Diceros bicornis minor: one gene and its partners. The protein of the gene in region 2 interacts with the protein of the main gene of each other region in a pairwise test. Links are inferred from orthologs where the notes say so. Each region holds a gene or a part of one and is shown on either strand. Other genes may lie near its edges.

Region 1 (7,243 bases), on a different chromosome or scaffold from region 2:
AGACGAAAAAGAACTATGAGCGCAGGGCTGGGCGGTCCGAAGATCTGGTGACCCATGTTCGCAGAGCAGAGCCCTGGCAGAATGCCAGGCTCCCGGCTCGGAGTCGGAGTCGTGGTCTCTGCCTTCCTTGCGGGAGGAAGATGACTTGGAGGAGGAGGCTCCTGGGGGCAGTCTCACTGGGAGGGGGCTGTGGTCCAAAGAACCCGGCGGAGGCTAATCCAGATATGTGGGCGGGCTCCACAGAGGAACTGGAGATGGACCAGTGTAGAGTCGAAGGGGCAGCAGCCAGATGCCCTCTTCTCCAGGCTGCTTGGCACAGAGCTGGGCACACAACCAACCCCAAGGACCAGCGGCCCGACGGGCAAGGAGGGAGAGAGACAGGCTCCACCTGCCCACCAAGCTGCTGGAGAGGTGAGACGGCGTAGGGCATCGAAGGTTGGTTCCACGGCTGAGGGGAAAGACTTTTAAGGAGATCAGCTAAGTCTGAGGGGCAAGAATCTGTGGCTTTCAGGAAGGGAAGTTGGGGAGGCAGCCAGGAAGATATCAGGAAGAAAGAGGAAGGGCGTGTGCAAGATCCTGAAGAGGAAAAGGCAGCTGAATTTAGCAGCGGGAGGGCTGTGAAGGTCAAAAGTATCAAGGACTCTCAAATAAGCCCAAGGCTGGAGACTCTACCCACCTAGGTCATGGGGTGGGGTGACGGAGTGGGGAGCATAACAGTGGAGCTGGCTCAGAACCTGGCTGTGCCACTTACTAGATGTGTGACCCTAGGAGAATTATGTGGTCTCTCTGTGCCTCACTATCTCCATCTGTAAAATGGGGAGAAATCCACCTTATAGGGTTGGGGTAAAGATTAGACAATGCATATATAAAGTGTTCAGAACAATAACGGCATGTATAAAGAACTCAAAAATTTTATTTTTCAGTGACCTCCCTCCAGTGGTGGGTGAATGCAGGGGGGGCAGGTGAGGGGGAGGGGCATCTGCCTCTCTGGGTTTAGCCCCAGGTGGTAGAGCTGCAGCCCCCTCCCCCCAGACCAGGGATATTGCAATGACTGAGGGACAGACTTGACAACCGCCCAGAGACCACTGCTGGGGAGGGCTGTCTCCCTGGGAGAGCCGGCAGAAGGTCAGGGAGGTTGGACAAGGGTTGGGACCTCCCCTGCCCACAGTCACACATCCTGGGTTTTCCAGGGCAACCCAGATTTCAAAGCCTCTGCTCCCTGGTGCCGGTGAGGACAGCAGAACTCATCACCCTATGTCCCTGAAGTCCGGTCACTGCAAATACAGGGCCCCACTCTGAGACTGCATTCTTTGCAAATGCAGGCTCTCCCTGGCCAAGGAGAGGGCTACTTTATCAAGGGCGTGCGGAATGCGCCGCAGGGGCAAAGATAGGTGTTCACCCAGGCTCAAGCGGAGGGACAGCCAGGGAAGGTGAAAGTCCAGGGGTGGCCACCACCTCCAACCTTAAGAAAGATGTGTTCGGGGTAGGGAAGACTGCAAATGCTACTTGAGAATTTAAATGCAGCTTCCTCTTTAAAATCTCCCAGAACCAGGCCCTTCACTGCGCCAGAGTTCTGCTCTAACTCACAACAGGGGGCTAAAGGAGCTGGATTCCGGCTCGCCCTCGCTGCTGGGACCCCCCAGGCTGCCGATGTCAATGGCTCAATTCCCCAGTGCCCACGAAGGCAGCGGCCCAGGCCCTCCTTCCCAACCTCGGGACTGGCCCGCCCCACCCCCGGCCCTGCGAGGGGGAAAGCGAACTGCCCAGGGGACGTACGTGGTGGGAGGGCCCGAAACTGCAGCCTTCGAGGGCGCCCTGCGGGTGCGGCGACCTCTGCCCGGGGAGGGGGCGGCGCTGACTGGCACGCGGTTCCCCGGGAGGGTCTGGCTCTCCTGGGCCAATGAAATTGCAAAGGGGGTCCCGAGGCTGCTCCGATCCCAGGGGACGTGCCGCCCCCATGCCCTGCTCCGGGCAAGGTCCTCTGGGCCGGGCCCTCCTCGCGCCCCGCAGAGGGTCTGGGCAGGGGGGTCCCGCGGGCAGGGCGGGCCCGCACGCGGCGCCCGAACGCCGGGCCGGGCGGACCGCGAGCGCCCAGCCCACCTCCAGCCCGCCCGGGCCCCCGACTCACCGGCCTGGCGGAGGCAGGATCCCGGCGTCGCCGCAGCGCCCGGGGCTCGGCCCGGCCCGGCCCGCCGGCGGGAGGCAGCTCCACGCCGCCGCCTCCTCGGCCCGCCCCGCTCCCGCCCCGCTCCCGCCCCTCCCGCACACTTTCCACAGGAAATGATTAACTCGGGCCGCGGCGCGTTCCCATGGCAACCGGCTCCGACCCCGGCGGGGGGCGGCGCGCGCGCTCCGGCACAGGCTCCCGCGCGCACTCACGCTCGCTCCCGCGCGGGGCGCCCGCTCCGCCGCCTTCCTGGTCCCCCCAGACCTTCCCCCTGGGCTCCGCGCTCCCCGCGTCCCGCCCGCGCTAGTGCACACGTGAGCGCTCACCTGCTGGTGCACGCACATCGGCGTACGTCCTCATGGCCCTTACACTAGCACACATATGTTCGCGCACAGGCTCTAGTTAGTACACACGAACGCATTCACAGTTCTCACACGCATCCCACACCAGTTCATATGTACATGCTTTTGCACTTACACTCTAATACATCCTCAGATGCTAGTGCAAAACTTTCACACTCTGGTTAGTACTCACACACACTTCTCACATGTGCTCCCTTGCCATCCTTGACACACTCACAAATTCTAGTACACGTGTTTTCTTCACATTCTAGCAACATTTTCACACATGCTCTTAGACACTAGATAATACGTGTGTACACTTTCACATGTTCTCATACACTTTACACATGCACTCACATCATACCACACTCATACTTTCACACAAATACTTCCCCATGCTCACACACATGTTCCCTCACATGCTCTAGGACACATTCGGTCACATTGCAGTATACACATTCTTTTAAATCCTAGTACACACTTTCACACGTGCTCTTACACACTCTAGTTACACACACGTACTTTTACACATTATCACACACATGCTCCCACTAGCTCTGGTAGGAATACATAGGCCGTGCTGCCTCCCCAGCCACAGCTCCACCCACAACCCCCACCTCCCCCACCAGGCAAATTTACATCTTCCAGAGCAGGCAAGCTACTTGGGATTTTTTTAAGGTAAAATATTCCTTTTAGCTCCCATGAAAACACATTCTGAGTGCAGCAGCTCCGGGAGCAGGCAGCGGCTCCCGGTGTAGCCCCGGAAGGCCCTCCTTGTAGGATGCCTTGGAAGAGGCCTCGGGGAGGCAGAGAGCCAGCCAGCCAAGGAGAGGCAGCTGACCCAGAGGAGCTACTCTGTTCTTTGTCTCCCAAACAGAGGTGGCATTTACTCCAGAGTCTGCAGCAATGTTCCCCCTCCAGGCTGTGGAAGGAGGAGAAAGAATGAAGCTTGGAGGCCAGCCCAGTGCAGGCTGATGGTTCCGCAGACAATCTGAGGAGGGTGGGCACGCTGCCCCTTCCTGATTGTCAGGGGATGGCCCAGGAGGAGCAAGGAGGGCACTGGAGGGGGCGTGCAGCTCCAGGAGGGTTCTCCCCTGCAGCTGCCCAGGCGCTGGGCTGGCGGTCAAGCATCTCAACGGGAGACAGAGCCAAGGTCCTGGGCCCAGATTGTTCTGGATGCCAGACCTGGACACTCGCAATCCCCCTACAGGAAGTGAGCTAGTGTGTGTTTTATTTTCTAACTGAGATGCTGAGTGAAGGCCCAGTAGAGGATAGATGTCACTCTCCTGGGATGGGTCCATTGAGAGTTAGAGATTTCCAGCTAAGAACCCTGGGTAACCCCGTCAATGGGAGAGAAGGCCATAATTTGAGAGTTACCTTCTCTGAGTCCCCCTGCCTGCCTCTCCAGACAGCAGTGGCCAGGGAACGGTAAGGATGGATGAGGGTGAAACTCCTCTAGAGGCCTGACCAAGTACCTCCCTTTATTATAGTCTTTGACTGGAGGGGGGGTAGCGTCTGCCTTCACAGTGCTGGTGTAACCCCTGTCTTACTCGCTGGCTGGTACATTGACACTAACTGCAGGCTCCTTCTGCCAAAGCCAGAGCCAGATTTTTAAATTAATAATAACATTTATTGTTCTTTTTCTCCGATTACAAAAGTAATAGATGTTCATTGTAACCATCATCCCACCCACTAGAGATAAATGCTGCCAACATTTCAGTACAGTCTTTTTTTTTTCTATGCACATAATAGCTACCATTTATTCTAAGCTAATACGGTGCCAGCCGCTGTGCTAAGCTCTTTAGAAACAAGATCCCATTTAACCCTGAACGCCCTATGAGGGGGGCACCATCATATCCCCAGTTTTTCAGGAGAGGAAACTGAGCCTCTGAAAGTTCATTCACAAATCTGGTGTGTGATAAAGCTGAGACTGGAACCCAATAGGTGTCTGTGTGTACGTAGATACACATACATACAGTATTCTCAGATGTATACAGCTGCAAGAGTTTATTAAGATCAAAGCGCCAGTGAAAGAAAAAGAAAATTGAGGGGCTGGCCTGGTGGCGCAAGCAGTTAAGTGCGCGCGCTCTGCTGTGGCAGCCCGGGGTTCGCCGGTTTGGATCCCGGGCGCACACGGACACACTGCTTGGCAAGCCATGCTGTGGCGGTGTCCCATATAAAGTGGAGGGAGATAGGCACAGATGTTAGCCCAGGGCCAATCTTCCTCAGCGAAAAAAGAGGAGGATTGGCAGATGTTAGCACAGGGCTGATCTCCTCACAGAAAAAAAAGAAAATTGAGGTGTTAGGAGGAGGAATTTTCGGAATTCTAGCAAAACTCTGACGAAATGGGAAAACAAATTGCTTCATGACTGTTGGAATTTAGTTTAAGAATGCACAATGTCACCAGGAAGTGCATACCAATGACTTCAAGGTCATTTTTATCCCAGGAACTTCGCTGACTGTTTCATGTGGAGGCTGCCAACTCTCCCCTGGCCACAGGGAAGGTGGAGGATTTGCCAGAAACCTGGCCATCCCACGCTGGGGTCCTGAACCCATGAGTGAGGACTCCTGGGTTCAGCCTTTGGTCTTGACCTCCTGCCCACCTTCTGGGGGAGGCAGAGCTGTCTCAGGGAGGGCCAGACAAAGCAGTGACCGGAACACTGCAGATCCGTATCCACATCCACTCGGTCCCCCAGGCGGGGGGTGGCAGCGCCATCTTTGTGTTCTAAGAGCCTGAAGCCCCTTAACTCTCAGGCATCCATCAGAAAGATAGCCACAGTCCAGGCCAAAGGAGTTCCACCCAGAAGGAAACCAAAAGAGAGGAATAACAAGCCAGATTGTGTTGAATCTGATTCTCATAGTAACCCAGAGTAAAGCACACGTAAGATGTACACGATTTTCCGGTTTTAACGATTTCACTTGAGATTCGCTCGCCTCCAGGCCTCCGCAATGCTGTTTTTCCTGCCCAGAAGTCCTCCACTTCGCCCCGCTCCCACCTGCCTCCACCCTCCTTTACCTGGCCGACTCCTCCTCCAAGTCCTTCAAGCTTAGAGGTCACCTTCCTTGACCCCCGCAGAGACCACAGTCCCCCTACTGCTCATCCCCCTGCAGCACCCCCCACACTGGATTGTAATCACCCCTCCTGTCTACACCATCAGCTCCTTGAGGGCAGGGCCCTTTCCTGACTTGATCACAGGGAAAGCCTCTGCAGTGCCTGGCGTCATGTAAGTTTTTATTGAATAAATAAATAGATCACGTATAATTCAGACAGGAAGAACAGGGTGCATGAAGCATATCCGAGCAGACCTTCTTCCCGTATAAATTCATGATCGTTCTTATCGGAAGTCAGAGAAGAATCCTTAAGGAATTATTTCAGTGTCGTCTGTAAGGAGCACCCTGCAGCTGTGACAAGTGTATATCCTTGCACGAGTCTGGGTAATAAACAGTTGAAGTTAGAAAACTTGAAGTTAGAGAACACCATTCTGGAGTTGAGTCACATATTAAGTAATCCTGACTCAATTAGCTGCTGTTTTGAATCCTCATCTTCAGATACCCCTGAAACAGTCTGTCCTGGACAGCGCAGAAAGAGCCAGGGAGCAGCCCGAGGAGGGGCTGGGGAGGGCTCTGCAGCCGGCCCTGCAAACAGGAGTGTGACTCCTCTCCAGCTGTACCCGACCTCTGGGTGTACCAGGCGGGCTGCCTCTTGGCTCACACCTGCCAGCTCTCAGGAAGCCATGCTCCCAAGTGGACATGAAGGGGTGGGGTCCTGGATGACCCTTGGCTGGACCGTACCTTCTGGTCGCTCTTGTCTGCTACAGACTGGGCTCCTACGGGCATTAGGTGCTCAATAGATTTGAACAAATGGTACCTTTCTCCCCTCTCTCCCTTTCCAGCTCCCTCTGTGCCCTCCCCATCCCTGCCCAAGGCACCTTCTTGCCAGAAGCTGTATTACCAGGGGAACAGTTCTCCCATTTCTAAAGGTCTCTGCAGGGAACCAAGGCCACCCTCCCCCCAATAAAACCACCTTGCTTTCAAATCCCTGGACAGTGACTCCCTTTCTGCATTTGCCAGGGAGGTTGGACCTAGCAGCACTTCCTGGCTCTCAGGGGAGGGGAACCTAAAACCTCTTTCTGACCTGAGGAACAATTTGGCAGAGATAGCCCCCTCTGAGCTCTCCAGGGTGGAAAGCAAACAGAGGGGTTTTTTTCCCCCTCTTTATCATTTCCTGTAGTCTAAAAAATGAGAGGAATGCAAACACTAAGGAGATGTGTACTTAAGCACCAGGTAATAAAAAGATTTAGCAAGAACGGCCGGGGAAGATAAGGCCCGCCCCCTCCCCGCCTCCCTCTGAGTCAGCTCTCCCGCCTGGGCTCCTTGGCCCAAAAGCTCCTGGCTTCCCTCCTTGCTCCTAAATCATTCCAGCTCCTTCTTCTAAGCCAAGGCATGCATTATTAACATCAATCCTGCTTCTTTTCAACTTCCCCATTCATTTTCCCCATCTGCTGCAAATTCTAGGTGGCTGTTTTTTTTTTTAACTTCAATTTTTTTTTTCCTGCATAAATGTAGGAGAAACCAAGAGAAGAAAAAGTCCCTAAATCCCGCCACCCTTAACTTATTGTCACTGGCTCGGACTTTCTTGTTGGTACTTGACCTTGAACAGATGTTATTACTATATTAAGGGGAGACAGTATAGAGCAATGGTTAACACTGGGATTAGAGGTCAGGGGGTCCTGGG
Region 2 (7,934 bases):
GAGACCGCAGAGGGGCTGAGAGGCCGGGGGCCGGCTGGAGGGCTCTGGGGTGGACTCACCGAGGAATCCCCAAGGTGGTCCAGGCCCCCCCCTGCCGTGGGCTTTGATTTCATGAGGAGGTGCAAGTTCCACTGCTGGGTAATGGATGGTGACCCCGGCCTCCCCCAGTAAGGACGAGCTGCGGGCATTTCTCGAAGCCCCCCAAGGGGGAGCCGACAGCACAGACTCAAGGCTGCCGGACTGGGTTCAACGCCGCCGTGTTCCTTCGATGCTGTGTGACTCTGGGCCAACGTCTCTACCCCTCTGGGCCTCAATCTTTGCGTCTGTTAAGTACCCACCTCCCGGGGTGGGCTGGCAAGGATGACACGGATTAAGACCAGAAACGCTCTTAGGACGACGCCTGGCATACACTAAGCATCTAATGAGTGCTTGGTGATCGTATGGTCACCCCAGGAGCCTGGCGCTTCACTCCACCAGACTGACCGGGACTTGGACAGCAGCTGGGGTCGCCGTGGCCTCCACGAGTTTATTTTCTCTAATTTGCTTTAAAAATGCGCATTTGTTAACCCCACTTAAAAAAAAAGAAAATCGCAATCTCATCCCAGACTCTGGATTCCTGGCAGATCTGGTGTGTGCCCCCAACGTGCCAGGGCCCCTCACTGGATAGAGGGAAGTGCGGGTCCAGTGCACGGAGACCCCAAAGCACAGAGAGGGGCTCTGGCCCCCCCGAGGTCACACAGCACTGTGGCAGCAATATGACGCTCGGTGTCTGCGACTGGACCACCCCACGGTCACTGTGCGGGGGGCAGGGCCGGGGTCGGGGAGCGGAGGACCCCTTGGAGGGGCTCGGAAAGGCCAACCAGACCCCTGCACATCGCAGACCAGAACAAATTCCTGGGGCCTGCCTTCCAACTGCCCGTGCCTCAGTTTCCCCACCTTTAAAATGGGCACGATTATGGGACAACAAGAAAGATTTAAACGAGAGGATGTCTGTTCAGTATTTAGCACATGAGGAGTCTAAGAAGCACCTCCAAGAGGCTGGATGTTTGTAAAAAAACCGAAAAACTCACTATTCTCCCTTTTTTCTTCGAGGAAACCCAGCATCCTTCAAAGAACACTTGTGTGTGGGTAAACTGAGGTCCAGAGAGGCCTTGGACGCCCCCCCAGGCCTTCTTCAACCCAGAGAGATCGGGTGCAACTCTCAGTTCCGCCACTTGCTTGCTGTGCGTCCCCGGGAAATCCCTAACCTCTCTGGGCTTCAGTTTCTCAGGCGGAAAATGGAGATAACAATAGCTCCTTCCCCTCAGATGGGGCAGAGGGCAGGCCCTGCAGACAGGTCAGCAGATTCCATTCTGGAGGGAGAAGCACCTTCGAGAATCTGTTGGCTGCCGGGACGCTTTCTGCAAAACTAGCAGAGAGACGTATAGCAGGCTACAGAATTCTTTTTTGGGGGGGTGGGCGGGTGGAGGGACCCCCGACAGTTATTGGGAGGTCTGTTATCCAGTAGGGATGGGGGTGGGAGGGGGGCTCTGAAGCCACGAGTCTCGGGCAAATGATTTAACTTTCTGCGCCTCAATTTTCCCATCTGTGAAATGGGACTGTTGGGAAGAGGAAGTGAGTTTACTCTTGGTCCAGTGCTCAGGATGTATACAGCAGGGGCCACGACCTCGCCCCAGGCCGCGGTGCTGCGCCTGCGCGGGGGCGCCCTCCTCACCTGTGGTACTGGGCCTGCAGCAGCTGGAACTCGTCCTTGATGCGGTCGCAGGAGTCCGAGGTGGTGAATTTGAGTTGCTGGGGTAGGTGCGACGAGCCCTGCGGGGAGGGGGCGGCCGGGTCAGGGTCAGGGCCGGGCGGGGGGCGGGGGGGCTCCCTCCCGGGCGGCCCTGAGGCCCGGCAGGCCCAGCTGCAGCGCCCCCGCCCCCCGCGCCCCACTTCCCGGGCCGGTGTTTACAGCCCCCGGCGCGCCCCCGCCCTCGCTTCCTGCCCTGCCTCTCCCGAGGGAAGCCAGGGGGTGGGCGCGCCCCGGAGCCGCCTTGTCCCCGCCACCCCCGGGCTGGGGGGTGCGCTGAAGGCCCGCCCTCGGGGACCCAGGGTGCGCCCTCTACCGCCCCTCCAAAGCGCAGGGAGGGGGGCGCACATTGAGCGCCCCGACTGCCTCTGGGAGGGCGGTGGGGACGCGTCCCGGGGAGCCCCCTCCCCAAGCTGGCAGGGAGCGAGGCCTCCCTGCAAAGTCCCGTTGGGGGAGGGGCCCCTCTCAGCGCCCCAAATCTCCTGGGGGGCCCCCCGATTCCCGGCACCCCTCCTCCGGGCCCTTCCGGGAGGGGTGCGTCTCGGATCTCCCCTCACTCCCGGGCACCGAGAGCAGCCCCTGCGTTAGGGGCGCCCCAGGCCCGACGCCAAGGCCGCTCAGGCCCTGCCGGGCTCCGTGGGGGGGCGCAGGGCCCAGGGGCTGCGGGGCGGGGGCGCAGGGCCGGGAGCTGGAGGGGACCCGGCCAGGGAGCTGGGGGGGGGGACTCCGGGCCCGGAAGCTGGGAGGGGGACTGGGAGCTGCGTGGTGGGGGAGCCCTGGGAGCTGGGGGGGGAGCAGCGCTGGGCCTGGAGCTGGAAGGGACAGGGCCCAGGAGTTGGGGGGAGGCGCCGGGCCCGGATCTAGGGGCGCACAGGGCCCGGACCTGGGGGGGAAATGGCCGGGCTGGAAACTGGGGGTGCCAGGCCCGGATCTAGGGGGGCACAAGGCCCGGACCTGGGGGGGAAATGGCCGGGCTGGGAACTGGGGGTGCCGGACGCGGGACCTGGGGGGGGCGCCGGGCCCGGATCTGGGGGGGGGCGCACGGCCTGGAGCTGGAGGGGGGTGCCGGGCCCCGACCTGGGGGGGGGCGCGGGCCCCGAGCGGCCCCGGCGGGCCCCGCTTACCGAATGCCTGCTTTGTGGAAACATCATGTCAGTCGCGGCGGGGGGCGCGGGCTGCGCCCCGGCTGTGCGCCCCGGCTCGGGCGGCTCGGGGCGCCGGGCGGCCGCGCCTTTGTCCCGGCGCCGATCGGCAGCTCCCGGGGCCCCGCCGCCGCCTCCCGCGCCCGGCCTCGCCCGCTTCCTGCGCCCCCTCCCCGCGCGCCCGGCCCCGGCGCGCCCCGGGCCCCGCTTCCTGCGCGCCCGGCGCCCTCCCCGCCGCTCCTATTGTCTAATGGCGGCGCCGCCGGCGGGGCCGCGGCCTCGGCTGCGCGGAGGCTCCCGCTCCACCTGCCGCCGCCGCCGCCCGGGCCCCGTGCGCGCCGCCGAGGGGGGCGCGCGCCCGGGGAGGCCCGCCGAGCCCCTCCCCCGGGCCGCCCCTCGCCCGGCGCGGTGACCTTGGGCACGGCGCGCGCCCGCCCCCCCCGCCCGGCGGCCCCGGTGGCCCTGGCGGCCGCGGGGGCCTCGGTTTCCCCATCTGTCAAGGAAAGGGGCCCGCCGCCCCCTCGCCACGGCCGGCTGTCATGGCGCGACCTGGACGCGTGCCAGGGACACGCTCTGCAGCCTCGGCTCGCCGGCTGCTCTCTCGAGCCTCGGTTTCCTCCTCGGAAGCAAGGCGGCGGCGGTACCGCCGGCCTCCTGGGGGCCGTGCCTTCCCCACGCGTTCATTGAGCGCCTACTGTGTGCCAGGCCCTGCTCCAGGGCGTGGGGGCCAGGGCGGGGGGTGGAGACAACGTCTTTACTCTGGGGGAGACGACATGGGGCACGCTAGAGACGAACACACACGAAGACACCAGCCAAGTCCCTGGCGGGTCAGATGGTGGTAACAGCTATGGAGAAAATAAGGCAGAGAGCAGGGCCAGGTAGGTGCGATTTCAAACAGAGGGAGGCAGAGAGGCCCTCCTTGAAGCAGAGAGGACCGGAAGCTGAGAGAGGGAGCTGGTGGAGGTCTGCCGGCGTGGAGGCTCGTTCAGGGAGGCAGAAGCAGCAAGTGCAAAGGCCCTGAGGCAGCACTGTGCCTGGCACCGGGGGACCATAGGAGGAAACCAGGGCAGGGAGGCAGGGCCAGCAGCTTGACGCATTCGCACAGGGGCCCGGCTCCCAGAAGGGCCTGCGCTTGGGTTAATGATCTACTGTTGTGGTCTGGAAATTCCTAATAATTTTTGAAGGAGGGGCCTGATAGTTTCGTTTTGCATTGGGCCCTGCAAATTCTGTAGCTGGTGACAGGACCAGGGCAGATGGTGCAGGGCCTGGTGGGCCGAGGGGAGGACTCGGGCTTTTCCCCTGAGAGAGGTGGGGCACTGGAGGGCTGTGGGCAGAGGAGGGGCGGCTCTGACTCAGATTTTGATGGGATCTGCTCGCGGCCACGTGGAGGACAGACCTCAGAGAAGCTGTTGAAATAATGCCCATCAACCCCTGGCACGTGCTAACCGCAGTCTGAATTCTCCTCGTCATCGTCTGTGCAGCTTGCCTCCCTGGATGTGTCTAACTTCTCTGGGCCCTTGCTTCTCCCATCTGTAAAATGGTTAGGACCCCGGTCCCCTTTCCTGGGCACATGAGGGGCCGGGACTAGGGTGACATAAATAAGCAAAATTTTAAGTCTCCCCCCAGAGCAAAAAGCCTTCAAGATAAATAATACTTGAATGCAGTATTTTAAAAAATAAAAAGGAATGCCCCCAAAAATTCATAATGCGCAAAATATCCACATATTAAATAAGACAGCATCTGAGGGGGCCGCAGACGAGTCTCGAAAATGCAGGGTCTCCCTAGTCCTGAGGCTGGAAGGAAAAAGGAACAAGTTTGGGAAAGTTCTTCGGTATTCCCATCGGGTTCTGGAATACGCAGACCCCACAAATCGTCCTAGAGTCCCTGATGGGGCGGGCTACAGAATTTTAGGGCCCAGGGCTGAAATGAAATGGCAGGACTTGTTGTTCAAAAGTGGTTAGAAATTTCGAGATGGTGACAACAGAGCATTAAAGCAGGCGCCGGGGCCTGGAGTGCAGGACCCCGTGGGGCAACACCAGACTCACGTCGGTGAAACCAGCCCTGTCCCCATCCCCACCCTCCCCCCGGACCATGGGGACCAGACACCTTTCTCGTGGGAGGCCGTCTGCGCCTGGCCCTCATCCAGGCAGGCACCCCCCAGTATTGGCCCTTGGGGACCAGCACTCCCACTTAGCACAGACTGGTTGGGGGGCAGAGCTGGGCCTTTCAGCCCAGGATTTTGACCCAAACCATGAGCAATAATAAACCAACCCACCTGTGTATGTTTTCACCATGCACCAGGCCCTGCCTTTCCCATGTTAACTTAGGTGCAGCCATTGTGCCCATTGGAAAGAAGGGAAAATTAAGGCACTCAGAGGTTTAGTGATTTGGCCAAAATCACACAGCCGGGAGGTGGCAGAGCCGGGATGTAAACCCAGGTCCTCGGGCCCTTGACCGCTGAGCAAGACTGCCCCTCCGGGTGGGGCACAAAGGCAGGGCATGGGGGGATACTGGCTGCGGGGGGCCGGGAGCCGGGACGGTGCGGGCCCCTGCATTCAGCGCTGAGGAGTGGGGACTTGACCTGGAGGGTACTAGGAAGCCGTGGGAGGCTATAGAGCAGGTTTCTGAGACTGCACTCTTGGCGTTCTGGCCTGGATTATTCTCTGTGGGGGGCAGTTCTGGGCACTGTAGGGGGTTGAGCAGCATCCCCAGCCCCACCCACTCAATGCTCAGAAGCACCCCCAGTCTTGACAGCCACGGATGTCCCCAGACATGGCCAGTGTCCCCTGGGGGACACAGTCGCCCTCAGCTGAGAAGCCCTGGCTTAGAGCAGCAGAGAGAGGCCTCTAGGGCCAGATGGTGGAAGGTTCTCGCTGGTCATGGAATAGACGAGGCCAGGTGGGAGGCCAGCAGACCAGGGGCACGCCCAAAGTGGGGTTTAGGAAGGGGCGGGCTGGGGCAGGCCCAGTGCGTGGAGGAGCTTTTGGGGGCAGAAAGAACGGAACACGGCCGGGGAGGGAAAGGCACGGCCAGAGCCCCAACCCAGGAGGGCACAGTCTTGATGGTGTAATTAATTTGGGGGGAATTGGGGCTTTTGAGCTCTTCCTGTCTGGGTGGCTGCCCCCCACACCCCTCGGCCCCCACCCGTCCCCGACTCCATGTCCTGCTCTGTCCTCTCCCCGGGGCCTCTGGGCCACCGCTGGGGCCAGGTCGGGGCGGGGACGTGTCTCCTGGATCCCACCATCGGGGACCGGCCTCGCGGGCTGCTTAGACATGCGCGGGGCCGCGGCCGCTGGGCAGAGCCAGGCACCGCCTGGTGCCTGATGGATGGGGCCGCCCGGCCATTCATCGGGGCCGGAGCAAACAGGTGGCCGCCCGGGGCCTCCCCCGTGGGGCTGCTGGAGCGGGAGCCTCCGCCGTCCTGCTCGGCCTGGCACGACCCCGCCGGGTGGCTGGAGGCCCCGGGACTTTCCTGCTCTGCACCTGAGTCCCCCCTTCCCCACATGGAGCCAGTATTCATTCATTCTCTCAGTAAATGTTTATGCACCTACTGTGTGCCAAGGTGCTTCTTAGTGGAGGTTTACAGCAGTGACCAAGGAGGACGAAATTCCTTCCCCTGCAGAGCTGACAGGCTTAAAACTTGACCTACGTCCCCTCCCTCCTCTGCGCGCAGCCCTTCAGGGCTCCCACCTCCCTCGGGGGAGAAGCCCACGTCCTCCCTGCTGCCCACCAGACCCTGCACGACCTGTCCCGTCCCCTCCCTGCCCTCTCTCCTCCCTCTCTCCCCCTCCTCCCTCTGCTCCAGCCACACGGGCTCCTCCCTGTTCCTCCAACACGCCAGGCCCGGTCCTGCCCCAGGGCCTTTGCACGGGCTGTGCCCTCTGCCTGGAACGCTCATCCTCAAATCCCAGCTTGGCTGATTCCTTCGTCTCCTCCCAGTCTTGGCTTAAATGTCACCTTCTCAGTGTGGCCTCATTGTGACTTCCCTGGTTCATTCAGGCAGGGCTGGGACCAGGCTGAGTGTACTTTCAAGTGAGACACTTTCTTCAGGCTTAACATTTAAGGGGACCCCAAAAATCTCGGTCAACACAGTAAGCACTATTTTAAGACTTTTTTTTTTGGTGAGGAAAATTGGCCCAGACCTCACATCTGAATGCAATCTATTTTTTTTTATTGTGGTAAAATACACATAAAGTTTACCATTAGAGACATTTAATACATTCACCATGTTGTGCAGCCATCACCACTATCTGGTTCCAGAACATCCCATCACCTCAAAAAGAAGCCCCGTCTCCATTAGCAGTCATTCCCATCCTCCTGCCCCAGCCCCTGGCAAACATGAACCCACGTTCTGTCTGCGGATCTGCCTGTTCTGGACATTTCACATCAATGGACTCACACACCGTGTGTCCTTCTGTGTCTGGTTCTCTCCCTGAGCGTCGTGTGTTCAGGGTCCGTCCACGGTGTGGCTGTGTCAGGGCCTCACTCCTCTTCACGGCTGTGTAATACTCCAGTGTGTGGGTGGACACGCTGTGTGGATCCATCATCAAATGGACACTTGGGTTGTTTCCATCTTCTGACAACCGTGAGCAGTGTCGCCATGAACACGCGTATGCAAGTGTTGATGTGGACGTATGTTTTCATTTCTTTTGAGTGTGTACCCAGGAGTGGAATTGCCATAGATCATGTAGTAATTCTATTTTAGCTCTCTGAGGAACCACCATCCTGTCCTCCACAGCGGCTGCACCATCTCACATTCCCAGCAGCCGTGCACAAGGCTTCCAATTTCTCCACGTCCTCGCCAACACTTATTATTGTCCATTTAAAACAAAACTCACGATAGCCATCCTAGTGGATGCCACGTAGCATCTCATTGTGGTTTTGATTTGCATCAGGCAATCTTTGAACAGATCACAACAAATGAAACAATTTCCCTAATGAACAAAATTTCAAACTTTAAGATAAAAAAAACAGGTCCAACACTTCCCTTGCGTGACCGCCTC
Region 3 (7,279 bases), on a different chromosome or scaffold from region 2:
TTGTTTATCCATTCATCCATCAGTAGACAGTAGAGTTGCTTCTATCTTTTGGCTATCATGAATGATGCTGCTATGAACACTGGTGTGCAAATATCTGATAAATACCTGTATATACCCAAAAGTGGAATTGCTGGATCAAGTGGTAATTCTACACTTAATTTTTTGAAGAACCTCCACACCGTTTTCCACAGTGGCTGTAATATTTTACATTCCCACCAGCAATGCACAAGGGTTCCAATTTCTCCACATCCTTTCCAACACTTTTTTTCTATTTTTTTTCTTTGATAATAGCCATCCTAACGGGTGTAAAGTGGTTCAATGTGTATTTTTTTATTTATATGACCTCTTTCAAAATGTATACAATTGTTTTGTATATATGTCATTTTTTACATAAGGAGCATTATGTTATTTATTTCATTCTGTGTGTTACTATTTTCACTTGGAATGGTTTTTAAGATTCATCTATTTGTTTTGTGTATACAGAACTCATTACTTCTAACTTTTGCATAGTAGTCCACGGTGAGCATCAGTCATGTCTATGTATACTGAGGATGTACTATGTGCTTGTGGCAAGCTCTCTACACCGATTATTTGATTCCTTACAGCAATCCTAAGAGGTAGGTGTTATTATTATTCCCATCATATGCATGAGGAAACTGACAAACAGGGAGTTAAGGGACGTGCCCAAAGTCACACAGCTGGAAGTAGTAGAGCTAGAAGTTTAACCCAGCTCTGCCGGGTGCCCCGGGAGAGCTCGCGTGTGTCAGGGGCTACACAGAGCTACAGACCAAGGCTCTCTCTTAGGTGAGGGCACTCTGATGAGAATCCTAGTCCTGACCAGATCCTGACTTATCTCCATATTGCCAATCACCTCCCTTCACTAGACATCACTTTATGTCTCTGCAAAATGAAGACAGGACAATTTTAATGCTCTTTCTAGAGTCACCACTTGTTGATTAAACCTCCGTTAGCTAATGGAAAAATAATCAGAACTGAAGTCAGGTGTTCGTTTCTTTCCAGTATTCCACATGGGAGCTGCTCCAAACACACAAAAACCCTTTGGCAAGTCGGCTAGTGAGGCAATTCCCTGATAGGACTATTCCCAGGGAAACGGAGTTGTTGCCTCCGGCCCCATCCCACCTCTCTTGAACTTTGCACTTACCATGATGAAAAATTAACCGGGCAAATGTTTCCCTTCCAAGGACAACCTCTACAAAAGCCTGCCTGGCTGGGCCCCAGGAGACCAGGCGCCAGAACGGAGTTCCTATGCATCCAGAGCCACCCACCCATTCACTGCCCAAAGTCAAGGGAGCATTTGGGGTCCCCCTGGCACTGGGAGGAATCCATTCCACAGCCCTCCTCGCTGCTTTGTGAAACGGGGCTTCTTCCCTTGAGTCTTCTCCTGGAGAAAGCGAGGCCAGAGGAGCAAGAACTAGCCCAGAAATGGGACTTCTTGGACTCACACCTGGGTCCAGCACTGTTTTTCTGCGTTCACAGCTGTCCGTGTCACATGGATGCCTGCATGTGAAGAAAGTGCAGGATAGCATGGTTCAGCTGCCCTAACTAGCTGCTGACTAGTTATTTCCTCCCCTCAGGAAAATGAGAGGGCTGAACAAGGGGCCCTTCCAATGCCATGATTTTAGGGGTTAGGTACACGCTAGGCCCATCCACTATATTTAATCCTCAGATCTTTTCTCCTTACTCCATAGTGCATATCACCTCCCTTCACCAGATACCACTTCTGCCTGTGTAAAATGAGAGGCTTGCATTGGAGGAGAACAATTTTAATGCTCTTTCTAGATTCACCACTCTGCACAAGAAGAACGGTTTGCTCCACTCTTATAGCTGAAAGAGCAAATGCTCAGTGAGGTGAAGGGAGGGAGAGAGCCAGGATTGAAAGCCAGCTTGGTCACTGATGGAGCTTGACGTCCTTTTACTTTATCTGCCTGCCTCTCAACAGTTGGACCTGCTTGATTTGATGTTCAGGTTAAAATTAATGTTCTACCAGGAGATAATGATTGCAAGGGCCCCTTTCTCCCAGGCACACACCTGCCACCCCTTGGTGTTTCTCCAGGCTGTGAGGTCCTTGAGGTTAGGCACTTGCATCTTTCATTTCAGCTTTCCCAGAAATGGGTAGGAGGACTGAAACACAAAGGTTCTCCATAGATCCGCCTCGAACGGAACCGAGCTCCCTCATCCGCACTCTGTGACAGGCTCTCCACGGCATTTCAGTGACCCCAAGGTGTGGTCCTATTCCTTTACAACACTTGACTGTTTGCATTAGATTTCAACAACCACCCTAGGAGGTGGAGAGCAAAGCTATTTGTAGCCCCATTTTACAGGTGAGCAAACATTTCTTGTAGAGGCACAATAGCGAGCCTGTGTAAAGAACTTTTGTTTTGCAAAGAGCTCTATCAATGATGTCATCTTTGCCTTCCACAACTCTATAAGGCAGCTAGCTGGGTGCAGTGGCAAGAACTGGGACTGAAGCCTCACAATGCGTGGGGTTCAAATTCCAGCTGTGCTGCTTGGAATCCTGAGTAAGTATTGTAATCTCTCCGCACCTCAGGTGCCTCCTCTGTGAACGGGAGGCAGAGGGACATCCACCTCAAGGGCCATTGTGAGGATTAAATTAGATGGCAGCACTTGGGCGACTTGGAATGAAGAAAGCCATCAATAAAGGTTGATTGCCTTCCTTCCTTCTCTTTTTTGATGAGGGCTGGGAAGAAGGGAGTGAAACCTAAGACCATAGCAGCTGCGGGTCAGCTGGAGGACCAGCAAGGAACAGGAACCAGGTCGTTAAGCCTCAGTTGGGGTTCAGGGATTCTCCTTTAAGGGCCAAGCAGGCGGGGAGTCAGGAGGGGAGGGCAGAGAGCGCAGCGCTCAGTGGCAGCAGCTGACAGGCCTGTGGGAGGCCGTTCTCTCCACAAGGCAGGGACCCCTGCAGCTTCTGGGCTGACTTTGTGGATTCAGCCACACCTCACAGGGTTTTGTAACTCCCCACTGGCTTGAGGGTTTGCAGATAACTTCTTTCTCACCACGGGGGTTTCCTGCTGTTAAAAATAAACAAAGCTCTTAGACACCGGGCTAGAGGCCTGGTAGGGGAGGGTCAGCAGAGGAAGGCCCTGGGGCTTGGGGTAACTCCTGAAAGCAGCCGAGGGGTCTGTGGGCAGATGCCCCTGAATTCTGCTGGTGGGGAGAAGAGCCCCCGAGCCCCCCAATATCCCGGTGTTTCTTTGCTTCCCACCAAGGCTAACTTTGAACACATCGACTTCCCGAGCACCGCCCTTTTGCCCCACTTTTTGCGAGTTCACAGCTTTGGAAACAAAGCTCTCTCTCTTTCTGTTTATTGGGTGTCGAATTTCGGATCTTTCTGTATCATAAGATTCAAAACACCCTGCAATGTCATTTTTCCCCCAAGATAAATTCTAAAGCGTCCCGATTCATTCCTTCACGAATTCAACAGATGTCTTTGAGGCCTATTTTCTGCCGGGCACTTGATTCACAAAGCCCAAGGGACCCCTGGCTCCAGCTATTACCTAGGGTGTCACTGGAGTCCCCAAATCTCCCCTTCTGAGAGCCCACTTCTTCCCCATCCCAACTTCCTCCTTCGCACACAGCCTTGGGGCTCTCAGCCGGTGTGATCTCACCGATGAGAGAATCAAAACAGCCCCCGGGGCGCCAGCGCCGGCCAAGGCCCCGGACCGGGATCAGCGCGCGCGCGTCCACGTGCGCCACCACTTCCCGGGGCTCAGCGTTCCGTGCGCCCTCTCTCGGACCCGGGTCCTCCCAGGGGTACATCGCCAGCCTTTGGTCTGAGGGCGCTCATTCGCTGCGAGTCTAACCCTCTCCGGCCGGCAACTCCAACTGAGCTTCCCGAGTGTGGGTTCCCAGAGCGGACGCCACCGCCCGAGCCCAGCCCTCCCGCCTAGGGCCCCTCTCGCCGCTCCTTTCCCACGACTTCCTCCCGGCGCCCGCAAGACTTCAGGTCCGGGCCGCGCGGGGTCCTACGCGCTCCAGCCAGGGCCGCCGCTGTCCCCGGCCGCCCGCGTGGGCGTGCGCTGCGCCGGGCGGGGGAAGGCCGGGCGCCCTCCCGGACGCTGGAGGCGGGCCGGGCGCCCGGGGAAGGAGGCGGCGGGGCGCGGGGGAGGAGGCGGGGAGCCCCGGCGGCAAGGGGGCGGTGACAGCGCCTGGAAAGGAGGCTGCACGCGGATTTGCATGAAACACAGACTGGGAGCGGGCGGGAGCGGGAGCGCGGCGCACGCCCCGGGCCGGCCCAGCGAGCGAGCGAGCGAGGGAGCCGGGAAGGAGGAGGGAAGCGGGGAGGCGAGGCTGCTGAGGCGGAGGGATCTGCGCATCAAAGCGAACAAGGCGAGCAAAGTTTGGCTGGGGGTTGGACTTTCCTTCCTGGAGGCGGCACCCAAACAGCTACCCCGTGCGGAAACCCAAACTTTCTTTTGCCACTCCGAGTCTCGCGGCCGCCGCCTCCGCCCCGCGTTCGGGGCCTGCCCGACCCCGCGCCGCTGTCGGCCGCCTGCCCGTCTCCCCCGCCGGCCTTCTCCCCGCCGTGGGAGCCGCTCGGGGCGCAGGGCTGCGCGCCGAGCCCCGCAGGCTGCAGCGCCGCGGCCCGGCCCGGAGCACGGGCAAGTTCGCCGAGAGTTGAGGCGAAGTTTGGGCGGCCGCGGCCGGCCCCGGCCGAGCGCCCCTCTGCGCCCCCGGCGTCCCACCGCGCGCAGCCCCGCCGGGGGCGCCCTCCCCCAGCCATGTCGTCTATCCTGCCCTTCACCCCGCCGATCGTGAAGCGCTTGCTGGGCTGGAAGAAGGGCGAGCAGAACGGGCAGGAGGAGAAGTGGTGTGAGAAGGCGGTCAAGAGTTTGGTCAAGAAGCTCAAGAAGACGGGGCAGCTGGACGAGCTGGAGAAGGCCATCACGACGCAGAACGTCAACACCAAGTGCATTACCATCCCCAGGTGGGGGTCCGAGCGACCCGGGGGCGCGCCCGCCCAGCCCCCTGGCGTGGCGTGGCCGGCCGGGTGGGGTTGGAGCGGGAGGGAGAGTGTGTGTGTGTGTGTGTGTGTGTGTGTGTGTGTGTGTAAGGGGGGGTGGGAGCGCGGACAGAAAGGGGTTAGAGGGGACCCCAAACAAAACCTTCTCTGGATTTGCAAAGATTCATCAGAGCCTGGGGCTTCCACGCGGCACTCTCACTTCCAGACCTCACATTCGCTTTTCACCTCCGGGAAACGGGGGTGCTGCTGGAATTGGCCACCCCCACTCCGGGGAGCTGCGGGCTAGAAGTTGAGGCCCGCTTTGTTCAGCTCCGCGGGCCCGAGCCCCTCCTCCGCCGCCGCCTCCCGCCCCCGCGGCCCGCGCTCGTGGAGGTGGTGGTGTCTCTCCCTTTCTTTTCTTCAGTCTTGTCCCCCCACTTCTTTCCTCCTCAACAGGAATGCAGTCCGTACAGCTGGGGCTGTGGGTGAGGAGCGGGAGCCTCATGATTGACAGATTCCTTCTTCGTTCTTGCTTTGCCTTCGGGATTAGCATTTTTATCGAGTATTTTTAGACTCGGTTGTGCCAGTCTCCCGCCCCCTCCGCACACACGCACTTTAGTTGCAGTGCAATGCTCTGACTTTCAAATGAGAGACAAGTGGCAGAGAGTAGGGTCTTCTTCCCCGCCTCCCCCGACTGTTTTTGCTCTCCTTTGAGTCTGAGATTGCGGGTAGATGCAGAATAGAGGGGGCTCAGAGCCAATGAGATAACAAAACGCACCCCAAAGTGGGCCTCGCCTCGGCCCTCGCATTCCTGCAGAGCCCTCCTTCCCAAAGCGCTTTGCCATCTGTCTGGACCTCCTTTATCCTCCACATTGCGCTAGCTAGGTCAGGCGGGAGCTCACAGATGGCTGATAGAAGGGGTCAGTGACTTCTCTGCATTCCCCAGGGCCTTCTCTTAGCTTAGCTGCGCCTGGCTGAGAATTAGGGGGTGTGTGTGGGGGGGTTATCTTGGCCTTCTGTCTCTCCCTCTCAGCCCCCTTTAAGGTCTGATTCTGCGCCAAGGGAGTGTGTGTGGGGTGGGGGATGTCCTTGGGGTCCCAGGCTGCAGAGGAATGAGTAGAGGGTCCCCAGGGCCTGAGCCCTGCAGAGATTGTCATCCTTGCTCCTGGGCCGGCAGTGGACTCCATCCTTGGCCACCTGCTCGGGGCAGCTGTGCAAGGGCTGCCAGTGGTGTCAGGCAGGCACAAAGCAACATCTGTCCGTGGGAATCCGGGGCAGGCCTTCTCTGGAAATGAATGCCACATATGGTGGGAGTGCTGACTTAAAAAATAATAATTTTTTAAAAAACTGGGTGGATCTAGTCAACAAAGGGGGAGCGAAGGCAGTGTGGTGTCTGGGAAGTGCGCTCTGGGCGTGTGATCTGGAGCCAGAATGGACTTCAGAGGAGGTGGTGTGATGTGGTGGTCAGTGAGCCCTGGGTTCTGGTCCCAGCTCTGGTTCTTAGTTCTTCTTTATCCCTTGGGTTGGGGGTTGGGAGTAGGGTGAATGAGTGTCCTACTCCGCCCCCCCCCCCCGGGGGGAGGGGTTTCCAAAACCTGTCTTCTTACCTGCCTGGGTGCATTGATAATAAGTGCTTTATGCCTTGAAACAGAAAGAAAAGATGGTATCAATTATAAAACGAGCAGCTGCATGAAGTGTTTTCCAGTTTACAGAGCACTTTCACATGGTTTTATGAGATCCAGAAAGAAAGAAACTCCTGGAAAACAGATAAAGCAGTTAGGCTTAAGATTGATCTCACTTTTAAAGTTGAGAAAACTTTGGAGGTGAGAGGTGGAAAGGCTTGACATCGCAGACATGGGATTCTGACCAGAAGTGCTCCTTCTCCTACCCCATGCTGCTCTTCACCTTGAAGTTCTGGGTACATTCTTTCCTGAATGCCAAAGCACTGTTAGCTAGGGGGTGAGGACTGGAGGGGGGGCAGTGTGGATCTTTGTTGGTAAGATTGCTGATGTTGAATCTGTGGGCTGGTGACAGCCTGGAGGAGAGGCCTGGCTTCCCCTGGCCTTGGTGGGAGTTTCCCTCTGGGGGAGCATGGCTCTGGCCTGCCTCCAGGGTCCTGCAGCCTGAGGCCTATGGATGCTTTGGTGTTTCTGCGAGTTCAGGCTAACTTGCCCCCTGGCTTTCTCATGACTCTGTTAGGGCCTCTGGTTGCATCTGGAGGCATCTTCTACCTGCCTGGCAAGGACTTAATGCTGAGGCAGATTTTTTTCATCTTTTCTCAGCTAGGGAAACCCA
Region 4 (7,960 bases), on a different chromosome or scaffold from region 2:
GTCGGTGGATCTCCCTTCCTTGCAGACTCTAACTCCAGCTGCCTCCTGTACAGCCACTCTTTTTTTTTTTTTTTTTCCTGTAACAACCTTTATTCCTCTTCCTCCATAGAATTCACAAAAGGGTCATCTTATCTTTTCAACAATTTATGTTGGCTCATTATGGGAAGTACACTTGCATCTGTACAGCCACTGTTGATGGCCCACAGGCATTTCAAACTTCACCTGTCACCAACCAAACTCATTCTCTTTCCCTCCTAGGTCTACACTACTCACTGTGTTCCACATGTGGAACACTGGCACCACCATCTACCCAATGTTAAGGCAGAACCTGGGAAGCAGGCCTGCCTCGTCCCCTGACCTCACCCCCAACACTCAATCAATTACCAAGTCCTATTCGATTCTACCTCATAGAATATCTCCCAGATCCTTCACAGCTCTGTCTAAGCAGAGCAGCATCATCTCTTGCCTGGATTAATTCAACAATCCCCTACCTGGTCTCCATATACTCCAATAGTTTCTCACTGTCTTTAGAATGGCTTTAAATCCTGAGCACAGCCTCCAAGTCTTTTGTGGATTTGGCTCCTACCTACCTCACCATCATTCATTAATCCATTCATTTAGCAAACACTGAGTGCCTACTATATGTGAAGCACTGTTCTGGGTGCTGAACATATATTAGCGAACAAGAGAAACAAAACTTTTTACCCTCACAGAGCTTACATTCTAATGGGGGAGACAGATGAATAAATATGATATATATTAGGTTAAAAGAAGACACGTGCTATGAAAAAAGAAAACAGGGCAGAGTAGAGACATTCGGGAGTGTGGAGACAGGGGTGGGATGTTGCCATTTTTAATGGAGTGGCCTCTCTGAGAAGGTGAAGAACTAAGGGAGTAAGCCTACAGGCGTATGAGGACAGAAGGAACAACCACGGCCCTAACTCGCCATGTTTAAGAAAGAATGAAGCCTATATGGGTGGAGTGAAGAGAACAACAGGGGCAGATCACACAGGTCTTTGTAGACGGCTGTAATCTTCTAGCTGTTGAGCTGTGAGTGGACTATAGGGGGTATGGGATACTAAATTAGGGGGCTACTGCAATCATCCAGGCGAGACATTGCAGTGGCTTGAACAGGATGGTGTTCCAAGGTGGTGAGAAGTGGTCTGATTCCGGATATATTTTGAAGGTAGAGTCAACAGGATTCCCTAACAGATCAGATATGGACCAAGAAAGAGAGGAGCCCAGGGGTTCTGTCTTGAGCAAAAGGAAGGATATCATGCTATTGACTGAGATGAGGAAGACAGTGAGAGAAGCAGGTTTGGCGAGAAGGTCAGGATTTCTGTTTTGGACACGTTAAAATCGGGATGCTTATTAGACTTCAAATGGGAGATGCCAAATAGGCAGCTGAAATATACGAGTCTGTGCTTCATGGAAGAAAGCAGGACTAGAATACAAAGTTGGGAGAAGTCACCAAATAGATGGTGTTTAAACCATGAAACTGATGACAGCACCAGAGAAGTGACGAGAAGAGGTGCAAGGACTGAACTCTGCAGCTCTTGAATGATAAGAGGCTGGGGACAAAAGAGGAGCCAGAAAAGACTATTGAGAAGTGAAGAAGTAGTGAAACAGGAATGCACTGTCTTAGAAGTCAAGTAAAGATACTGCAGCCAGGAGGCAGGTGTTCAATTGTGTCAAATGCTGCTCTCCGGACAAATGAAAGATGAGATCTGAGAAATGGATTAAGCAACTCGGAGGGCAACACTCACCCTAATAAAAAAATACTGACCACCTTTTAATTAATCTCTCTCCTCTTTAGCCCCTACACAATATTGTTCTTTCTGCTCAGAACACTCTGCACTGGTTTTTCAGGTCTCAGCACAAAGGTCATGCAATCTGGGAAGCCCGACCCCCAAGGTTAATGCTATTGTTATCTGAGAAACTATACTTTCTTTATCGTTGAGATTATTATTATTATTAGAATAGTATTAATGTAATATTATTATAATAATATATTACAATTATTATTTTAATTGTCTCTCTCTTGGGCTAGACTTTAATATCCTGAAATCAGGCACAAGTCTATCTTGTTTACTTCTTTACCCAAACCATCTAAACTAGCACAGTGCGAAGCACGTAGTAGACATCCCATAAGTAATTAGAGAACAAATGGATAAATGCTAGGAAAACTTAGTAGCGTGAGCAATCGCTTCCTGTTGGCATAACTTCGGGGGTGCCTAGAAAGGAGTGCCTAAAACTATGAGTGGGCGTGGAGGGTTCTGACCACCCTAAATTCGCTCCAGGGCTGGGTCTCCCATTCCATTACCTTTGCAAGGTGGTAATATAAACCACGCTCCTTTTATTTTTTATTGCAAGTTATTCCCGTGGCGGACATCTTTCAGCCGTCCACTCCAATTAACCGCGCTCTTCCTCGCACCCAGCCCCCGCCACTCACCCAGCCGCGTGGTGCGCTCCCGCGGCACCGAGGGCCGGTTCCCGGTCCCATGCTCGGCCTCCAGCTCCTCCTGCTGCTGCCGCGCTTGCTCCAAAATCCGTCGGGTCAGCCGGGGCCCCACATACTCTTCCTCCTCTTCTCCGGTTCCACGGCCCCGCCGCTTTTCCCGGGCCCCTGCCCGCACCGCGTCCCCAGCCAGGATCTGCTCGGCCAGGGGCGCATGTTTTTCCTGAACCCCGGCCCCGCGGGCCGCCTTGAATTTGGGCATTTTTCTCGAAAACCTCGCCGGGAAGGTTCACACGTGGGGACGGGAAAAAGCCCTGATTGCGCTTGCGCAGTGAACCCCGCGCCCAACAGGCGAGACGGCGATCACAGCGTTCCCTAGCGTTCGGAGGCCGGGAGTGCCATCAGCGACGCCCCACCCCCTAAAAGAGCTCACTGGTCCTGGAGCAGGACTCCTGAATAAACTCATTGCCTTTAACGTTGGCTTCTCTAAGTGGTGGCAGGCCGAGCCACGCTTTCCTAGCTTCATGGATCTAGGCCCGGCCACATGAGAATTTCTCCCGCGGCAAGCCTGGGCCAGGGTCGGACAGTGACGTCACTGCATGCGTCACCGAGGAGGCGCCTAGACAAGCCCCTGTTCCTCGTGGGCGCGTCGACTGGGCGCTCTGTTTTTGCGTCATTTCCGGAGCACCTCCCTCCAGCGAGCCTGGCGGTAGGGGGCTTCACTTAGCGTGGGCGGCCAGAAAGCGCTGCCTTTCAGCTGTTGGATCCTGCCACCTTCCTGGCCCGACACCATGGGAGTGACTTGGTAGGAGTGCGAGGGATTTTGTGGGGCGGGGCTTGGGGTCGTGAAGGGGCCCTTGGAGCCTGGACTGTACCCGGGAGGAGGAGCGAGATCAGGGTCCGCCGTCCCTCAGGAGCTGAGCAAGATGTCCTCGGATTGTGTGGGTGAGGGGGACACCATGAGGGTCGCGGAGTCTCAGGGCCTGTTTCCTCAGAGATGCGCCCCTTCCTCTTGGAAGGCGGCTGGTAAAAGGTTTTATCCCAGGAACCCATCAATGGTTGTGTACCTCGTTCGTTTTTTCTTGGTCCATATGCCTGCCCGTGGGGCTGTGGTACTGCTGGGGGTGGAACTTTAGGGTCGGAAATAGGATGTCCGGACTAGGATCCATCTGCAGGCAGGTCTGGAGGGGTTGAGGGATAGGCAAGGAGGAGACAGTATCTTTTTTAGGTTTTCGCCTGCTCCTCCTTACAGCCGCTAAATGCAGTTAGACCAGCCTGTATCTGGTTCTAGTTTGACCATTTTAAGATTCTCTGTCTAGAGGTAAAAAAGAAGCTATTGGGAATTAGGAGATTGGGGTTCCAGGCATGTCACCTTTTCAGGATCCCTTCCTACTATGTTTAATTACATGGTTGGTCTAGTTTTTATGGACTTATTAGCTCTAACATGTTATAAGTCTGGGTGGCAGGGAAAGGTGTGGGCCTAATGCTCTTGGAGGCATTAGTTCCAAAATGCTAGATTTCAGGGCTTTTTTTTTTTTTTTTAATACCGGGAAGTGTGAACATCTTTCCAGTCAGAGAGGGCTGGAGGCCAGGATATCTGAAGCTAGTGGCTGTAGGCTTCTTCTATAAGAACCTGTGGGCACTACTCCTCCTGATAACCCAGGTTCTTGAGGTTTGTTGGTGATTGCACCTTTGTTTCCTACAGTTGTCATCAGAGCCTCCTCAGGTTCTCTAGTGTAAGGGGATATGTGAGCGATGGGAATGCAAAGTTTGAAGCACAGAGGCTTGGAACCCTGGAGCCCCTGTTCTTTCAATAGAGAAGGCCTACAGAGGGAAGGGCTCTCTTTTGGGACCATTATCAACTTTCTCCGACTCCTAGGACTTCTGACCTCAGTAGCATCAGTTTAGGGAGTCTCTTATATTTCAAAATAAGGCACATCATTATCATTGCTTATCAGTGCTTTTTCTTTCTTTTTTTAAATTTATTTATTTCCCCCAAAGCCCCAGTAGATAGTTGTACATCATAGTTGCACATCCTTCTAGTTGCTGTATGTGGGACGCGGCCTCAGCATGGCCGGAGAAACCACGCGTCGGTGCGTGCCCGGGATCCGAACCCAGGCCGCCAGCAGCGGAGCGCGTGCCCTTAACCGCTAAGCCACGGGGCCGGCCCTATCAGTGCTTTTTCTTATGGAGAGTAGTGACAATTATTAGCAACGTCAGGACTCTACTTTTATATCTTCATTTGGTTGACTGATCCTAAAGTAATGCAGTGTCTCCCAACATTCACTCACATATGATTCTCCTTAGGACTTTTGTATAGCCAAGTACCAGCTCTACTATTATTTATTAGTGTTTTCTTTTAAATCTATTTATTTTCCTTTAAAGTATTTAACAGGCAACTGTGTCCCTAGGGAGGCAGTCCAGTATGGTGGTTAAGAGTGTGGACATGGCGCCAGCTTGCCTAGCTTTGAATCTTTGCTACAGCACACCAAGCTGTGTGACCTTGTGTGAGTTATTCAACCCCTCTGTACTTTAGTTTCCTCATTGGTAACAAGGAGATAAATAATAGCACATCTTATAGGGCTGTTGTGAGGATTGGAAGACTTAATTCATCTGAAGGCCTTTGGACACTGCCTGGCACATAGTTTGCGCTTGGTGATTTTTACCCACCCCTCTAAAGGGGAAGCCAATTTCACTCACCATAGAAGGAAATCTTGGAAATAACGTTTTTTGTTTCATTGTTTTGATTAAATTCTTGTACGTACTGTTGCCTCTCATCCCCGAAGATTATAAACTCGAGGCTTGCTTTCTTTTTGATCTTAGGGCTGTCGAATAGAACTTTCTGTGGTGATGGAAATGTTGTATATTAGCAGTGTCCAGTACCCTAGCCCCCAGCCACTATTGAGCTATTGAGCCCTTAAAATGTGGTTGCAGCAGAGGAGTTGAATTTTTAATTTAATTTGTTTTATTAGTTTAAGTGTAAATAGCCACATGTGGCTTGTGTCTGCTGTACTGGACAGTGCACGTTCAAAGTGTTGTAGAGTTGGTAAAAATACACTATCCCCAAACTGAGGCTTTCTCCTTCATACAGTCAGAAGTGAAAGAATCACAAAGCTCATTATACAACTCAGTGTTATCGAGGGCTCAGTCTGTGTGCCACCTAAAATTTTCTCATGCTACGCTTGGGAAGTGCTGGTGTGATAGATAGGAAGTTCACTGCACTTCTCTGCGAGTCCTGAGAGATGTCCTCAGGGACCGTGGGCCTCTATTTCCTCTGTTTTAAAATGAGGGGGTCAGGGTCAGTGGTCTCGAAGTTAATTTCTGGCCCTGATGAGCTGTGATTCTGTGAGTGAGTGGTTCAGCGAGTGCACATGTGTCATTGCATATTGATGGTTTGGTACTCTCCCTTCCAGTGTGTCCCAGATGCCTGTCGCTGAGGGCAAGAGTGTCCAGCAGACCGTGGAGCTCCTCACCAGGAAATTGGAGATGCTTGGGGCAGAGAAGCAAGGAACATTTTGTGTGGACTGTGAGACCTACCACACGGCTGCCTCTACCCTTGGCAGTCAAGGTCAGTGAGAAGGGTCTGTGTGATGGCTGGAACCTGGCTTGGAGTTGATAGATGTTCATGTTCATTGAAATCTTTCTGTTCTTCTGCTAAAGGTGGTATTCTTAAACGTGTGGCACAGGTGTTTCTTAATTCATTAATTCTTGGTCCTTCATCTCTTAGACTGGGCCTATGTTTTAGTCTTTTTGCACTTTGCATTCTTAAAGCCGTGTTTCTTGGAGGGTTGGTCACTGACTGACTAAATCATTTGAGTTACTTGTTAAAGGTGCAGATTCCTGGCCCTGCTTACCGACTGACTGGTGCTACAGGCCTCATAATCTACATTTTAACAACCTTCCCAGATGATCTTTATGCAGTCTGAAGTTTGAGAAAGTCTCCTTTTAGGCTCAGAAGTCTTCGGATATGATTCTTGTAGAGCTTTAGAGTTTTCAGAATTTTCTGCAGAAAGGCTTCCTGTTGCCCACACCTAGCCAGTGGCCTTGGCTACCTCATTAGCATAACCTTGACCAATGAATCATCTCTTGTTTTAAATGTATTGAGAGGTGAGATGGGCTGTGGATGGTCATGGTGGTAGGGAGGCAAAGAGGATCTTTGAATATGACTTAGGGAACCTGAGTTCTCTTAGTCTTGGCTCTGCAGTAACTTGACCTTGGACAGTTCCATACCAGTGATTAAGAGCCTAGATCTCGGAACCAGGTAACTGAGTCCTGGCTCTGCTAACTGCAACTTTAGCTAAGTCCCATGACCTGTGACTGTTTCTATGTCGGTCATTTGCCTCTTTTCCCATAGATCTCATCCCTGCCCTTGACCTGCACACTACAACTGCCAGGCCCCCTTTCAGTTACCTTGGGTCAGTGAGAGGCACTGGGGAAGATTAGAGGATGGGAGAAAGGGAGACCACAGTATTGCACTCCCTCTCCCTCTGCTTTGGGCAGTGGTTATGGCTGTGACTCCTCCTTGCTTCTAGCTCCTGCAAGGCAGCCTTTGTTCCTGGCTCTTATAACAGCATATCTTCTCTTTTTCCTTCCAGCTTTAGGGATGGTGGTGGCTCCCTGTGTTGCTAATCTTTGGGTGGCCTCACCATTCCGTTTGTTTTTCAGTTCTTCCAACCCCTGTATTTCGCTCCCTGTATTAAATCCCCTCTAATGAAGCTATCTGGTGTGGGCTCTGTGTTTGCACCCTTCCTAATACAGTTCTCTCATCTGTAAAATGAAGGTAGTCATAGTACTTACCTCGTAGGGTTGTTGTGATAATTAAATAAGTTAATACATGCAAAGCACTTAGAGCTGAGGTTGTCATGTAATAAATATTTAATAAACGGTAGCTAACAGCTGTACTGCATTTCATTGTTGATAAAAATGCAGTGTTACCATTTATTTTGCCTTCAATAGGAAGGAAGTAAGAATCAAAAGCGATAACGGTTATGAAAGCATTTGGAAAACAAGGCATTTGTATGTAGTTATAAGATGGCATACTACTTCTATGAAACTGCCTGTGTGGGCTGTTTTCCTGATCAGACCTTTACTTTCAAGGAGCTGTAGTCTAGTTGGGGAGACACCATATCAGTGGCAGGCAGTGTGGTAGAATGAAAAGAGAGATGAACTTGAGGTCAGAGGCCTGGATTGGAGTTCCGATTCTGCTGCTTACTGGCTCTGTGTCTTCAGATCGGAAGTTCTCACAGTTGACTAGCGTGAGCATCACAGGGGGCTTGTTAACACACAGATTGCTGGGCCCCACGCCCGGAGTTTGTGATTCACAGGTTTGAGGTGGGGCGGGGAATTTGCATTTCTCACAAGTTCCAGGTGCTGCTGCTGCTGCTTCTGCTGCTGGCCTGGGACCCACTAGCTTCGTTTTCCTCATCTGTAAAAGGGGAACAGTAATGCTAGTTCTACTTCCTTCACAAATATATGCAGGTGTGAAAGTACTTTGTTGTGATT

Evidence for each region.
Region 1: the proteins of TLE5 (region 2) and KIFC3 interact in binary tests that used the Homo sapiens proteins (3 or more experiments, as listed by UniProt). The two-hybrid records come from large-scale screens. The link is inferred for Diceros bicornis minor from reciprocal best matches to the Homo sapiens genes TLE5 and KIFC3.
Region 3: the proteins of TLE5 (region 2) and SMAD3 interact in binary tests that used the Homo sapiens proteins (3 or more experiments, as listed by UniProt). The two-hybrid records come from large-scale screens. The link is inferred for Diceros bicornis minor from reciprocal best matches to the Homo sapiens genes TLE5 and SMAD3.
Region 4: the proteins of TLE5 (region 2) and BYSL interact in binary tests that used the Homo sapiens proteins (3 or more experiments, as listed by UniProt). The two-hybrid records come from large-scale screens. The link is inferred for Diceros bicornis minor from reciprocal best matches to the Homo sapiens genes TLE5 and BYSL.

The regions. Positions count from the first base shown.
Region 1 is NC_080771.1:11,205,516-11,212,758, forward strand, and holds the start of KIFC3 (kinesin-like protein KIFC3), read right to left. Parts: upstream 3,003-7,243; 5' UTR 2,512-3,002; coding exon 2,494-2,511; intron 2,197-2,493; exon of another isoform or gene 2,129-2,196; intron 1-2,128. UniProt on the Homo sapiens protein: Minus-end microtubule-dependent motor protein. Involved in apically targeted transport. Required for zonula adherens maintenance.
Region 2 is NW_026691553.1:2,386,394-2,394,327, forward strand, and holds the start of TLE5 (TLE family member 5), read right to left. Parts: upstream 3,012-7,934; 5' UTR 2,941-3,011; coding exon 2,914-2,940; intron 1,813-2,913; coding exon 1,715-1,812; intron 1-1,714. UniProt on the Homo sapiens protein: Transcriptional corepressor. Acts as a dominant repressor towards other family members. Inhibits NF-kappa-B-regulated gene expression. May be required for the initiation and maintenance of the differentiated state.
Region 3 is NC_080744.1:61,121,092-61,128,370, forward strand, and holds the start of SMAD3 (mothers against decapentaplegic homolog 3), read left to right. Parts: upstream 1-4,274; 5' UTR 4,275-4,763; coding exon 4,764-4,969; intron 4,970-7,279. UniProt on the Homo sapiens protein: Receptor-regulated SMAD (R-SMAD) that is an intracellular signal transducer and transcriptional modulator activated by TGF-beta (transforming growth factor) and activin type 1 receptor kinases.
Region 4 is NC_080753.1:23,515,727-23,523,686, forward strand, and holds the start of BYSL (bystin), read right to left. Parts: upstream 3,010-7,960; 5' UTR 2,721-3,009; coding exon 2,453-2,720; intron 1-2,452. Other genes in the region: MED20 (mediator of RNA polymerase II transcription subunit 20), read left to right, coding at 3,250-3,263, 5,872-6,026. UniProt on the Homo sapiens protein: Required for processing of 20S pre-rRNA precursor and biogenesis of 40S ribosomal subunits. May be required for trophinin-dependent regulation of cell adhesion during implantation of human embryos.